Linked DNA regions of Arabidopsis thaliana. The protein of the gene in region 3 binds, or shares a complex with, the protein of the main gene of each other region. Each region holds a gene or a part of one and is shown on either strand. Other genes may lie near its edges.

Region 1 (5,080 bases), on a different chromosome or scaffold from region 3:
TGGAGTTACAGTTCTTGGTACTGTTCCAAGCTTGGTGAAAACTTGGAAGAGAACAAACTGTATGGAAGGGCTTAATTGGACAAAGATTAAGTAAGGAGCAACAAACCTTGTTTTGTTTTCGGGTTTATACGAGAAATTTTAACTTAGAAGCTGTTGTGTTTTGTTAGGTTTTTCGCCACTACAGGAGAAGCTTCCAATGTTGACGATGTTCTCTGGCTTTCTTCTAAAGCTGATTACAAACCTGTGATCGAATGCTGTGGAGGCACGGAACTTGCTTCGTCATACATCATAGGAAGCCCTCTTCAACCGCAGGCTTTTGGAGCGTTTAGCACACCATCCATGACAACTAGAATCATCATCTTCGATGAAAATGGCGTCCCATATGTGACAAACTGAAACTTTAGACATTTGGAGTATTTTCTTAGAATATCCAGAGATTGATGTAGACTGGTTTTTGCAGCCGGATGATCAACCATGTACTGGAGAAGTCGGTTTGTTCCCCCAGCACCTTGGGGCCACGGATAGACTTCTGAATGCAAATCACGACGAGGTTTACTTCAAGGGAATGCCCATGTATAAGGAAACAGTGAGTAGTTTTAGAACTTCTATATTTACATCTAAACAAAATTGCAAACTTACGTCAGTTAAACGATTCCTCTGTTCTGTTGCGTTCTGCAGCGACTTAGAAGACACGGTGACATTGTGAAGCGAACTGTTGGAGGATATTACAATGTTCAAGGTAGAGCTGATGATACCATGAACCTTGGAGGCATTAAGGTACTACATACATTGTATGTCTATATACCCAACTTCGATTAGAGTTGGAACTTTTCTCAAGTTTTCATCTTTTGTTTATCTGTTATAACGCAGACGAGTTCTATTGAGATCGAACGTGTGTGTGATCAAGCTGATGAGTGCATCTCTGAGACAGCTGCAGTCACCTTAACACCACCTAACGGTGGTCCAGAGTTGCTGGTCATATTCGCAGTCTTGAAAGAAGGGTTCAAGCAACAGAGTGGAGAAGAGCTAAAGATGAAATTTTCAAGAACCATTCAAAAAGATCTTAATCCTCTCTTCAAGGTAATCAATATCTTTGATGAGTTTTTCTATAAATTCAAAGTTATTATAAGATTTTTTGTGTGCTTAAAAATGGATTTTGCAAAAATATTGCAGGTGAGTTTTGTGAAGATTGTGCCGGAGTTTCCAAGAACAGCTTCTAGCAAGCTACTGAGAAGAGTCTTGAGAGATCAGATTAAGCAAGAACTACTATCCTTACGAAGTCGAATATAAAGCCTTGATCTTAAGTTTAACTAGAATAAAATAAGATCTGCTGAGTAGTAGTTGATCTACACATGATTGGGTACTGCTCGGTCCAAATAAGAAAACCGATTAAATCAAATCTACCGGTCCTTGAATTCTCTAGCCTGATTCACATTTACATGACTAAACACTTTGACTTTGTTATGTTTGTGTTTGTGTTTGGTGTATATATTTCATATCAGATTATAATCTTAATTTTCCTCAAGATTATCTTTTGTTTAAATTTGTAAAAATATTTCGGACGATACTCATACATCCCATAAGGCTTTGAGACATCTGAATAGTATCACCACGAATGACCTATGGAACCAGAAGACAACTAGCCGCACCCAACGATACAAAGATAGCGTTAAGATCATTCGAGGTCTAGCTATATCGTGGTATACAAAATCTAGAAAATATAAAGTAAAACCATAGCATTGTTTGGTTCATTTGATTGATGCAAGTCAAACAAACTCGAAAGAATGAGATCTTAATACCAAAACTTCAAAAACACTTGATATTAAACACCTTATTTGGAGGAAACTCTTTTATGATGCTTGTGGTTGGCGGTTTTTTTTTTTGAACCAGAGTGTTGTGAAAATAATGAATTGGGCCTGACTAAAACAAATTGGGCCACAGAAAAAAAAAGAATTAGTAAGAGCAACAAAAAAAAAAGAACCCTAAAGAGCGCGTTTGGATCTGGTTTTATGAAAACCACGAGAGATTTCGTGTTGAGATGATTATGATGTATTGAAGAGTTTTGATCAAAAGAGAGATATAAACCTCGCAACATCAAGAGAAGATCGAGCTAGAAATTGACAACGTCTTCCAATTCCGAGCGCTTCAAGACGATGATTTTGGGGTTATAGCCTATAATTTGAAGAAAAAAAAGGATTGAACTTGTTGTATCTATCCCCAAGTGATGTGGACTAATGTTTTCAGAATTGTAAGTCTTATTCTATCATCTTTTTCCCATTGTGTGTGAAAATTGACTTATTGGTAATACATGATGATTTTTCTTCTACAGGGTGGTCTACATAATGTTTCTTGGTTTCAGTTTCTTCCAAGTGAAACTGAGCTGAATCCTGGCTTTGATAGAAGGTTAAAGCTTTAAGCTTTTTCAATGGGTTGTTTTAGTTTTTCCTTATTGACATTGTACTAATTAGTCTGGTCACTCTGGAGTTTTTTTTTCAGTTCAAGAGCTGAGCAGAATGAAGTTGCAACATATCTTGTACTTTCCTCTCATCTACGGTTGCAGAAGGAAGGGTTTCTTACCACTTGGACCAATTCTTTTGTTGGACCTTGGGATCCATCTCAAGGTTTATACAACCCTGGTAATGCTAAATCTCAATCTGGTACTTTTAAATTTTGTAACTTTATTTACAGTTGTATCTAACCATCATTCCTCGCTGCTGCTCAGATGAAAAGATTAAGCTTTGGCTTTTTCTACCTGGGCGTCATTCATCAATATCTGATAAAGCTCAGGCTGCTGTGTCAAAGCTTAGAGGTATATTCTCCTTATGATTTATTTTCTTCATCGTATTTTGTCGCCTCAATAGATTCAAACATATTGTCTCTATTCTGATTATGACTGTTTAGTGAACATGCCTGTGGTCTATGGTTATCTTGGTATACTTGTCCTTACTTTTCTTTTTCTCCTGTTGAAAGTTGTTGCGTCAGGAATTTGGGTAGCACCTGGGGACTCTGAAGAGATATCAGTTGCCTTTTCACAGTCTTTACGTAATTGCATCGAAAGGTTAGTTTTTTATTATCTGCAGACATAATGGTTGGATTAAGGAAATAATGGATTAGAGTATCATATTAACTTGTTTGATATCGCCACAGAGCATTATCTGGAATTTCCTACATGAGATTTGGAGATGTGTTTTCAAAATTCAGCCCTCAAAGCGAAGAATATTTGAGGTATCTGCAACCTCTTACCAATATAAGCGAGACCATGCGTTATAATCTCTGATGGTTTATTAGCAAATATATCGTCTTTTTTCTCTATGGCTTTTCGATTATGTATTATCCTATAGCTTTCATTAAATAGGGTCTGTGAGACCTAGGTTTCCTGAGTGTAATTCTTAGAATCCAAAGAATTCTATGATTAGGTCTGTGGCTCGCTAATGCTCTGTGGCTCGCTAATGCTCTGTGGATATTTATGTAGGAGGGGACAGCCTACTGTTGAATTCATCTTTGCTGCTACCGAAGAGGCAGTTTTTGTCCATGTCATTATATCTGCCAAGTCCGTAAAGCTTTTTGTTATACTGTTTCAGTTATGGTTTAGTGCTTCACATAGTTATTGAAACTAACTATAATATTTTATGCACGAAGGAATGTCCGCACACTTTCAAGTGGCGATGCTGAAAGAATGTTAAGGAGTTCTTTGAAAAACTCCAGTTATAGGCTTCCAGGTTAGTTATTTTTCCATCATCATTTGGATTGATAAATTATCCTACTTGTCTACGATTTTGATGGAACTAGTTCTAGATGTTTGTTGACCTCTTCTTGCTTTGTACTGTTAGAATACTGTATAGATTGAGAGCATTTTGAACTCAATTTTCAATGCATCCACTCCAAAAAGAAACCTAGTGTAGTCTAGTGCTACTGCTACCTAGCTTCATCAAGCAAAGATTTAACACCTCATTTTTTTGCATGTCACAAGAGCTTTTCGTAAATGTTTGGGATTGGCCAAGAGTGAGGATAATAGATTATGCTACATGTAATTCTATGAAGCCAAACTTTTTGAATTGATACCTGAAATGAAATCCGCCTTCTACACATGCTTAAAGAAAGATAAGAGCTTTTTATTTGATAGAAACACTTCTCACAGGCCTATGTTATTCCCACCAGTTATTGTTTCTCCTCATGGAATGCGGGGCAGCCTTACTGGATTCTGTCCCAATGACCTTGTCAAGCAAGTCTACTTCAGGTACATTTCATACCTTTGCTTTCGAATGCCAAGTCAACATTTTTTGTGAGTGCGTAGCCGTTAATCTGATTAATCCAATTTTCTCAACTAATACTTTTTTCTCACACAGTTCTGGAAACTTAAAAACTTCGACTGGATATGTTGGTCTCCCTTCTCATATTGGTCGTGGGTCCCGTCTGATAAATGGCAATCATTGCTACGTGGAAGTTACACTTGGTTGCTGCCAAAATAGAAATGACAACACAAGTCAAGCTAATTCGACCTTTGCAGTTAACTTGCCCCATAACCAGTGTCCTGAACCTTCAGTTGGGAGTAAAGATCACCGTAAAGGACAATCAGATCTTTCATCAGTTTGTGAAAAAAAGTTCATCTATCCAGCTGAGGCAGTGCTTGTACCAATCTTACAGTCGGCATTTGCGAAATTTTCTTTGAAAAGGTAAATTGACTAGGTGAGGTGGTTATTTAGAATTCATTGAGTACTTAACGGTAAGATCCAGATTGGCTATACATAAAATTTATTTCGTTTCTGTTGAATTCCATGTATGTATTAAAACAAATTGACTCTGTGTGATCGTAGTGGAAGTTTTAGTAATTGTTTCAGACCCATGTTAAATAGATGTAATAGTTGTGATCTTTCCTCAGCTTGGAGCTGATGCAAGGTGAAATCATACTTGCAGATTTTGGCTTCAAAACTGGATAGGCCCGTCACTAGCAGGCTCATCTTTGTTTATGCACTGGTGAGTCTTTTTCATCTATCTCGTCGACATTTGAAGATCAAAAGAAATCCACAAAACAGAGGTCTTGAAATGCCCAAACTGTTCTGAGAAACCGAATGTTTTGTAA
Region 2 (3,453 bases), on a different chromosome or scaffold from region 3:
GACACTTGCATAGGTAAAAGAAATAGATCTTCCTTCCTCCTAGCCCCATACTTAATTTGGAGTCATTAATCAGACTTTCTGCTTTTGAATCTGGTGAATGTGTAGGTTCAGGCAAAGTTGGAACCACAAAACTCAGCTGGAGCTTTTTGTGGATCCTTATAATCGGGGTGGGTGTTGCAGGTCTTTCTGGATATGCAGTCTACAAATACAGAATCAGGGTATACGATGTTCTTTACTCTGGTCTTGTTATCATATTAAAACATAGGAAGATTTTGCGGTCTAGATAGAGATGCTAAGTAACAATTGAAATTATGCAGAGTTACATGGATGCGGAAATTAGAGGGATCATGGCACAGTACATGCCATTGGAAAGTCAACCACCCAACACAAGTGGTCACCATATGGATATATGAGTGAAGTTATCAACACAAGCCAAGAGACTCTCTCTCTTTCTATGAGTAGCTTTAAGTTTCCATGTAAATGAATCAATGGACTTGATACAACTCTAGAGAAAAGAAAAAAGCCACAAACAGAAATAAGTGTACCTGCACTATTTGTAAGAAATGTGGATTTGCAGATGGAATCTCCTTTTTGTCTGCATATTACTCTTACAATGTAAAATAGACATAACTGGATGAATAATGAGTGTTACATTATTTACTGTTGAAACTAACTTAAGATCCATAAGAAGAAAAACAATAAACTTTGATTGAGAGATTGTTAAACTTTCTCCAGCTCATCTCTGTGTTTCTCAATCTGTTCTTTCACAAGCTTCTGCGACTCTTGGAAAAGCCTCATGTGCTTCTTTATAAGCTCATCTTTTGTCTTAAGCTCTTCCTCCATTACTGCAATATCCTGTTAAGAACAGAACAGAAGAGAGCAGAAACTGGTAAGACAATATGTGTTTGGAGTTTTCACATTGGTAAATCAAACCACACCTTCTTAAGGCTTTCAGCTCTCGAGGGCGCGCGATCTTCTCGCTTTAGTCCCATGAAGTAAAGCTGAAGCTTTTTCGCAGCTTCCATGAAATCTCTGGCGTGCCGCTCCACATCAACTGCAGCAGTTCAATGAGGGGAATTAAGCTAGAACATCGAATATGGAATCAAAGCTTCGGTTTCAACTGAATTCTAAGCACAAAATTCACTGAGATCATAAGTTAAGCACAAAAACAAACACAACTTCCAAACTATCATTCAAACTAAAACCCTAGAATGGTGAAATTGGAGAGTAGAAAAGGGACTGACTTTGATGAGAAGGGTGAGGAGAGCGATCGATGGCCTGAAGCTCTCTCGCCGGCAAACATGGTAACAGAGCAGCTTCCAAGGCTGTGACGCAAGCCATAATGTCCTCTATGTCATTATTCTGATTGTTCGAGGGGGTCTCCGGTGATCTGATTCCCGGTGGACGGTCAGGCGGTGACGGCGAAGGGTCAGAAGACTGCGGCGGCTTTTGCTGATAATCCATTCACGCCGATCTCGATCTCTCTTTCTCTCTGCTTGTTTGTTTGCCCATAAGGTTTAGTGAAAAATATTATAATGGGGGCCCATTTACTGGATTTAATTTGGGCTTATTGGGCCTTTTCCACATTCTTAATTGTTCTTAAGAATATCATTTTGATGTAATTAATTGAAAACACTGAAAATTCATTTTTAATAAATATATGAAGTAAATCATTTATTTCATATGAAAAAACAATAGTAAGGAGAAGGAACAACATTTTCTGATACTTTACTCTTGATTTGATGTCACAAGATATAACAGATGATGGCTTTTGTAACAAATTTTGATTCCTTATGTAACTTTTTATCTCCATCAAATTAGATAAGTTACATCCTTACTTAAAGATTTTTTAGCTATGGATTTTCTAATGAAATTTGTAAAATGAGTAAGCGATTGACTAAATACTGTAACCATTCTCTTCATTATCAGTGAAAATAGCTTTTAACACATCTCTCATTCTCTTCCTTCTGATTCACAATCATCCATGTGAAAAGATGACAACAAAAACCTTAGATAGAGAACTCACACATTAGTTACAGAAGAAAGATTCTCATTTACTACTACATAAGGAAGTACGGAACATATGATCAGACATCAAGCTTCCCGGTCGGAGAAAGTCTGCTACTCCGGTATTTAGGAGACAAGTTAACAAACTCCAAAGCCTGTGTTCTGAGCTGAACCGGATAATCAGCTGCACAACCGATTCTTGGACCAACTCCTGTCGACCATTTCAGTGACAACTGATGTCCCAATTGTAATGATCTTGACTGTTTCTTTGAGTTTATCCTTAGTAGCATAGATTTCTGCGGCACGTTAGCTTTTGGACTCCCAAGTCCACCTGAGAGTGTTCTCTGGTAGCTACTCCGTTTTGCCTCCTCAAGTGTTCCCACTGTTCCGTTACCGTTCTCATCTGTTTCAGTCTCTGCTTGGAATGTTGTGTCCTCTTTCTTTAACGGTTCCGGTTCAGATCCTCCGTTGGATTTAACATAATCATCGTAGCTGTCAGAATCTTCACTAGCTTTATGCACCTACACATACATAGATATATTAGCTCTCAAGTAGTCTCTTTTTCTAAACAACCAAACTCTAGTTAATGATATCATTCACCAGCCAAGATTAGAACAAGGGCATTACCTCAACATTGTCTAGGTTCACTGCGTTCTCTCTGAGAAACCCGAGAAATGTGTCGAGACTATCGTCTGACGGCCTGTAATGTCCGCTATATGCAGAGATTGTCTGAGATTAAACCGAAAACAGAACGATCAAACAGAGAAATCACAGAAGGCAGACATAATAAAAAAGTTGATATGAATGAACATGTATCTCAACCACTCTAAGAAAAGGACGTGGCCTTAGTAAGTTACCTTGAGAACTCCATTGTCAACAATCACCCTCCCAGCAGCTAATGTAGCTCCTCCAGCCAAAAAGCTTGAGTGATGGAACCTTCCTTTCTTTTTCTGAAGTAAACATAAACAAAGAAAAGAACCATTAGAATCTTTTTCAATACTAATATCAATTCATCACCAATAGAAAGATATAACGGTTTTAACTTACCAGACCGGCATAGAGTTTCTTGAAAGTACTCATAACAAAGATCCATTTTGTTCCTTCCGATCCATGCATTGTGTGTAAGAACTTTCCAGTTAACTTGTGAACAATCTTCCCTTCTATGATCACATACTCATACTCTTCCCTCTCTTGCTGATACCAGAAAAGGCTTATATGAGAGAAATCCCAAAAACAAGTAAAACCAATATTGACATAAGAGAGGAAAAAATGGCACATACAGGTCCAAGATATCTAATGCATTGCTGCTTAAGCTTTGACCTCGGACATTCGTTAAGATCCAAATCTATCCCTCCTCCAACATCCAACCTGCCAAAAAAAAAAAACCCGGATATATCACAAAGTTATAGATAAGAATTATCACCTAAAAAAGATTCTTGAGCTACA
Region 3 (4,628 bases):
CTGTCATGGTAATTAAATTATCTCTCTCTACTTACTCTTCCATGGATTCTTTGGTTCATATTCACCTTGTGATGATCCTTTTCCCCTTAGTCAACGCGCATGGATCATCACAAGGTGGTATAACAATTCAGGAATTGATTTTCTCTTTGCGTCTTTTGTTTGTTTTGTGTTTTTGCATGCGCCTAAAAAGAATATTTCATTCCATTTCTTTCTTAACTCAGAGACATAATTGAACCATGAATGTTATTCAACTTAATTATGAGTTAATACATGCATCATAGTATCAGGTCTCATTTATGAATATGTAATGATAGTGTATCTTTAAATTTGATGTTATAGTGTATTGGCTTGCAGTTTGTTTCCATGGTTTTGAAATGATGTGTTTTGTTCGAACAATGAATTTATAGTTCGTTTCCATTTTCCCATTTTCTACTTTCTTTTTATTTGTTAGGAAAACTTTGTTTTTTTTTTTGCATTTTTTCCATAACATTTCAATAAGCAACCATATTTTAACATTATATTCCCACCTAAGCTAAATTTCATTACTTCTATTGTTAGATAAAAATATAATTAAACCAACTAAAAGTCTGAATCATATTATAATCTTTGCATTATGTTTTAACTATATGTTGGGAGTTACATAAATTTGTTTTGCTTGGAGCCTCCAAACTTTGAAGAGGCAAACATGAACGAAATGTACACTGCTTTTCTAGAGCGAATATGAAAACTCCATCTCTAGTTTGTATAACAGTCGAAATCACCTTGTTATACGAAGCATTATGCAATATGTGAAATGTATTAAGAGGAAGCATGTTGTCACCGTCATAAGTCTCTCTAACATTACTAATTTAATTACCATGCAGAAGAAGAAGAGGATCTTGACCTACATTAATTGTTGTATAAGGCCAAACTAGGGCTTTGTTCTTCTACAAAGTCGGAATCTTTCTCTCTTCAGCGATATAGCAAATATGTCTCAAGTGTGTAAAGACAGTAGTGTAACGTTTCTGTAATCTTCTTTATCACACACAAAAAAAAAAAACGTTCTGTTCTATGTGCATCATCTATTAAGATACCCCTGGTTGTGTTGTGTTGTGATACATTTTGACTTCTTCCTACATCATACGAGAACAAAATAAAACATGACTTAACCAAACCGTCAGATGCAGAATCCATTTAACTAATCTTCGATAAATTGAGAATTGTCGGATGATCATAGTTTTAGAAACAAGAGTTAAGAAATCATGCATTGATTGCTGGTACGATTTGGCCATTTGGGTGATTTTAGCTTTGGTTAATCATTCTCCAACTTCAATATAAAGGATCCGAACAATAGCAATGACTAAACGAATCACTTTTTGGCCTTAGCAAATTGGTCTTAATTATTTGGCCACAAATACACATACATATGACCATATGAAAAACAGTGGCTATCTTGCAACTGAGTGCCACCACCTAATCGTGGCCATATCCACTAACAAGTTGACCACCGTCTTAATCGGTGGCTATTGACGATTGCAACAAAAATTATTTGACGGCTATATTAGCATTTTTTTTTTTTTTTAACTATGTGATTAAAAATGCAAATTATAAGAAAATTGAAATTTTTATTAAAATAAAAATACAAATGTAAAAAAAGTCGTTGTGAAATCTGTAAAGTTGATCATACGCACTATGAAGCGCGTGAACCCCACGCGGTAACCCGTATAAATAACAAAATTTTGGACGAAAAAAAAACAGAAGAAGAAGAAAAAGAAATCGCGATTTTATAACGCCATTGTTTGAGGAAACTCCTAATCCATTCTCAAACCCTAGTTACTTCCTTCTCGAACGTTCCTCGATATTCCCGCGGGAAATTCACGACCAAGAGCAATCCGTTTTCCAGATTAGGGTTTATATCTCTGGGTTGCGATGAGATCTGCCTCGTGAAGTCATGTATGGCGGTGATTGATCTTTGCTTCAGCTTTGTTTTCGCTTTTCGTCAAATCTTGAGCTTATTGAGCTTTGGCTTGTTTGGTTTTCAAATTCCAATAATTGCAGTTTAATCAACAACAACAAAAAAATATGGAATCAGAGAGCGTTAAGTTTGGAGGTAAATTTGGTTTCCAAGCTTTGATTTTTGTCAAGTTTTATTATTTTGGGATTTGAGGGTCAATGAGCTTCTGGGTTTCTAAGTGCAGGTCCTAGAGAATTGGGTGGTGCACTAGATCTTATAACACAATACAAGTTGTTGCCACACCATGAATTCTTTTGCAAGAGATCACTTCCAGAGTCACTGTCAGATGCTCATTATCTTCATAATTTGGTTGGAGACACAGAGATTAGAAAAGGAGAAGGAATGCAATTAGATCAGCTTATTCCTAATGCATCACTTAGTAGCCGAGATACGAATGCTCGCATCCAACCTTTTGTTCTTGATGAACTTAAGGAGGCTTTTGAGCTTAATGATACAGCTCCTGTTGAATTGCCTCCAGTAAGAATATTGCTCTCTCTGTTTAGATTTTAACTTCCTGTAACATCTAGATCTTTTACTAACCATGATAAGTTGAATTACTTCCAAGTATCTTGTGATGATAGTTGAGCTAGGTTTGAGAATATGAGATCTCCTGTTCTTATTTCAGGCAGAGAAGGGAGCTCCTACCACTGTATCAAAATCAAAAAGTGAGTCAAAAGATAAGGATAGGAAACATAGAAAACATAAAGACAAGAAGGAGAAAGATAGGGAACATAAGAAGCACAAGCACAAGCATAAAGATAGGATCAAAGATAAGGATAAAGACAAGGATCGAGACAAAAAGAAGGAAAAAAGTGGACACCATGATAAGGTTATAAAACTGTCTGCTCTTGTTGGTACCTAGGCCGTCTATATATGTATATTTTGGATTCTTAAATTCGATAGAATTGACGTGGTATACGCTATCACTTTACTTTCAGAAAAGGAAGAACAATGGGACTGAAGATGCTGATGACGTTCAGAGGCACAAAAAGAGTAAGGTAATATACTAATGGCAATGGAGGCATCTCCTTCTTTTTAGTGAAGCTGAATTTAGAAGTTTCTGGTTACTCGCACATTGGTGTTGCTCTGCAAATTTTATTTTTGTCGGCCCTAAAATTAACTTTTTTGCAGCATAAGAGCTCAAAGCTTGATGAGATGGGAGCGATGTAGGTTGGAGGCTGAAGCCGTGCACACTTTCATTTTTGTATTGCACACCCAAGGTGTCATGGAGAGGCTTAGAAGCAGCTAACTTTGTTAGGTAACTCGGTCACTAGAGTCATCTTCTCATCTTTAGATAACGCACGTTTCTCATATGGGGCTGCGTCTGTCATAACCAACGGTACTGTACATGATGAATATGATTGAGTCAACAAAGCTATGGTTGTTTTAAACATGAAGAAATAATTATTGTCTAAGGCTTATAAGAAGATAACCTGGAACTCTAGCGACCGAGAGTGCACTAACTTTATTTTGGAGTCTCAAATAATTAGAAATGTTTCTATATGGTGTAGATTTGTCTCAACATAACATAAAATGATTTGGATTTGGTTTTGCAGGTTTAATCTCTAAATAAAAATTGCATTGTGGGAGAAGTTAGGAGGGGTTAAGCAACGAAAAGTTCGCCAAGAAGAATCACAACTTGTACATTTTGTTACACTTTAAACAAGCTATGAAGTTTATCTATTCTCGTGACTATTTAAACAGAAAGGTTTCATACATTCGAAATCATTTACTCTGAAATTTATCGAATCTGAAGGCATGTGACTTTTTGGGTGTATTCGTCTCTATGGAAATACCAAAAACAAAATTTAGATCTTTCAGGAAAGTGTTTTATCTCGAACAAAAGAGTAAATAATGAGAAGAACAAAAAAAGACATATGTAATATAACCAACGGAACAGAGAGAAGGGTCAGTGGCTGACAAAGTGTTTCAAGACTTCATGTATATGTAATGAATAGCAAAAGATCAAACTCTATCAGTAAAAGATACTAACGGAAAATCTCAAACTCTTAATCAACAAAACCCTTAGTGGGAAACTTTCCAATCCTTCACACTCTTCTCTCCTACCAAACGAATGACTAAGTAATGCTGCTTTTCATTTTAAAAAAGCGTTCCAAGATGTGACCTCATTTGCTTATCCTTCCTTTTCATTTTCTAGCAAAGGTCTCTCCTTTGTGCTCACTCCCGGCACAAACAACATACCCTGCTTCCACCTATAAAACCAATTGATGTTTTGATTATGGAATCTGTAAAAGCATTGATACGTAGGGGACACTGTATTATGAAAACTGAAGGGGGTAACGTACTTGGCAGTCTCTTAGAGTAACACGCTCTTGAAGCTGTGCGTTGCTGCAAATGACTGAGCCTTGTATTGAACATCCGTCTCCAATTGTGGCATGGTCCATCACAACTGAATTAACAATCTGCACCCACATATACAAGCAGTTGAGTGTCTTTTCGAGATGTACACCACCTTTCTTTGGCTGGCTTGAGTAAAAAGCTAATTATTACCTTCACATTGGAGCCTATCCGGCAATGTCTCCCAATTACAGATCTTTTGACACTGCATTTATCACCGACTTGAGAGCCTTCTCCAAGCATACAATGAGGTCCAACCTGCAACCCAAAAATTGTT

The links.
Region 1: AT5G19480 (region 3) and GCT share a complex: the UniProt entries of both Arabidopsis thaliana proteins name them as parts of the mediator complex.
Region 2: AT5G19480 (region 3) and AT3G52860 share a complex: the UniProt entries of both Arabidopsis thaliana proteins name them as parts of the mediator complex.

What each region holds. Positions count from the first base shown.
Region 1 is NC_003070.9:20,635,370-20,640,449, forward strand, and holds the start of GCT (RNA polymerase II transcription mediator), read left to right. Parts: upstream 1-2,010; 5' UTR 2,011-2,224; coding exon 2,225-2,248; intron 2,249-2,329; coding exon 2,330-2,403; intron 2,404-2,496; coding exon 2,497-2,636; intron 2,637-2,722; coding exon 2,723-2,809; intron 2,810-2,970; coding exon 2,971-3,058; intron 3,059-3,147; coding exon 3,148-3,225; intron 3,226-3,472; coding exon 3,473-3,550; intron 3,551-3,639; coding exon 3,640-3,719; intron 3,720-3,972; coding exon of another isoform or gene 3,973-4,027; intron 4,028-4,123; coding exon of another isoform or gene 4,124-4,158; coding exon 4,159-4,237; intron 4,238-4,346; coding exon 4,347-4,673; intron 4,674-4,914; coding exon 4,915-4,974; intron 4,975-5,080. Other genes in the region: AAE18 (acyl-activating enzyme 18), read left to right, coding at 1-90, 168-384, 461-586, 679-777, 871-1,080, 1,174-1,290. UniProt on the Arabidopsis thaliana protein: Component of the Mediator complex, a coactivator involved in the regulated transcription of nearly all RNA polymerase II-dependent genes.
Region 2 is NC_003074.8:19,591,278-19,594,730, forward strand, and holds AT3G52860 (mediator of RNA polymerase II transcription subunit-like protein), read right to left. Parts: upstream 1,492-3,453; 5' UTR 1,465-1,491; coding exon 1,245-1,464; exon of another isoform or gene 1,055-1,244; coding exon 939-1,054; intron 856-938; coding exon 721-855; 3' UTR 571-720; downstream 1-570. Other genes in the region: VSR1 (vacuolar sorting receptor homolog 1), read left to right, coding at 1-13, 106-218, 318-413; AT3G52870 (IQ calmodulin-binding motif family protein), read right to left, coding at 2,088-2,528, 2,635-2,736, 2,865-2,957, 3,055-3,201, 3,288-3,375. UniProt on the Arabidopsis thaliana protein: Component of the Mediator complex, a coactivator involved in the regulated transcription of nearly all RNA polymerase II-dependent genes.
Region 3 is NC_003076.8:6,569,767-6,574,394, forward strand, and holds AT5G19480 (mediator of RNA polymerase II transcription subunit), read left to right. Parts: upstream 1-1,734; 5' UTR 1,735-2,061; coding exon 2,062-2,089; intron 2,090-2,177; coding exon 2,178-2,470; intron 2,471-2,618; coding exon 2,619-2,822; intron 2,823-2,931; coding exon 2,932-2,991; intron 2,992-3,124; coding exon 3,125-3,163; 3' UTR 3,164-3,857; downstream 3,858-4,628. Other genes in the region: AT5G19473 (RPM1-interacting protein 4 (RIN4) family protein), read left to right, coding at 1-8, 864-914; AT5G19485 (transferases/nucleotidyltransferase), read right to left, coding at 4,141-4,206, 4,300-4,416, 4,505-4,609. UniProt on the Arabidopsis thaliana protein: Component of the Mediator complex, a coactivator involved in the regulated transcription of nearly all RNA polymerase II-dependent genes.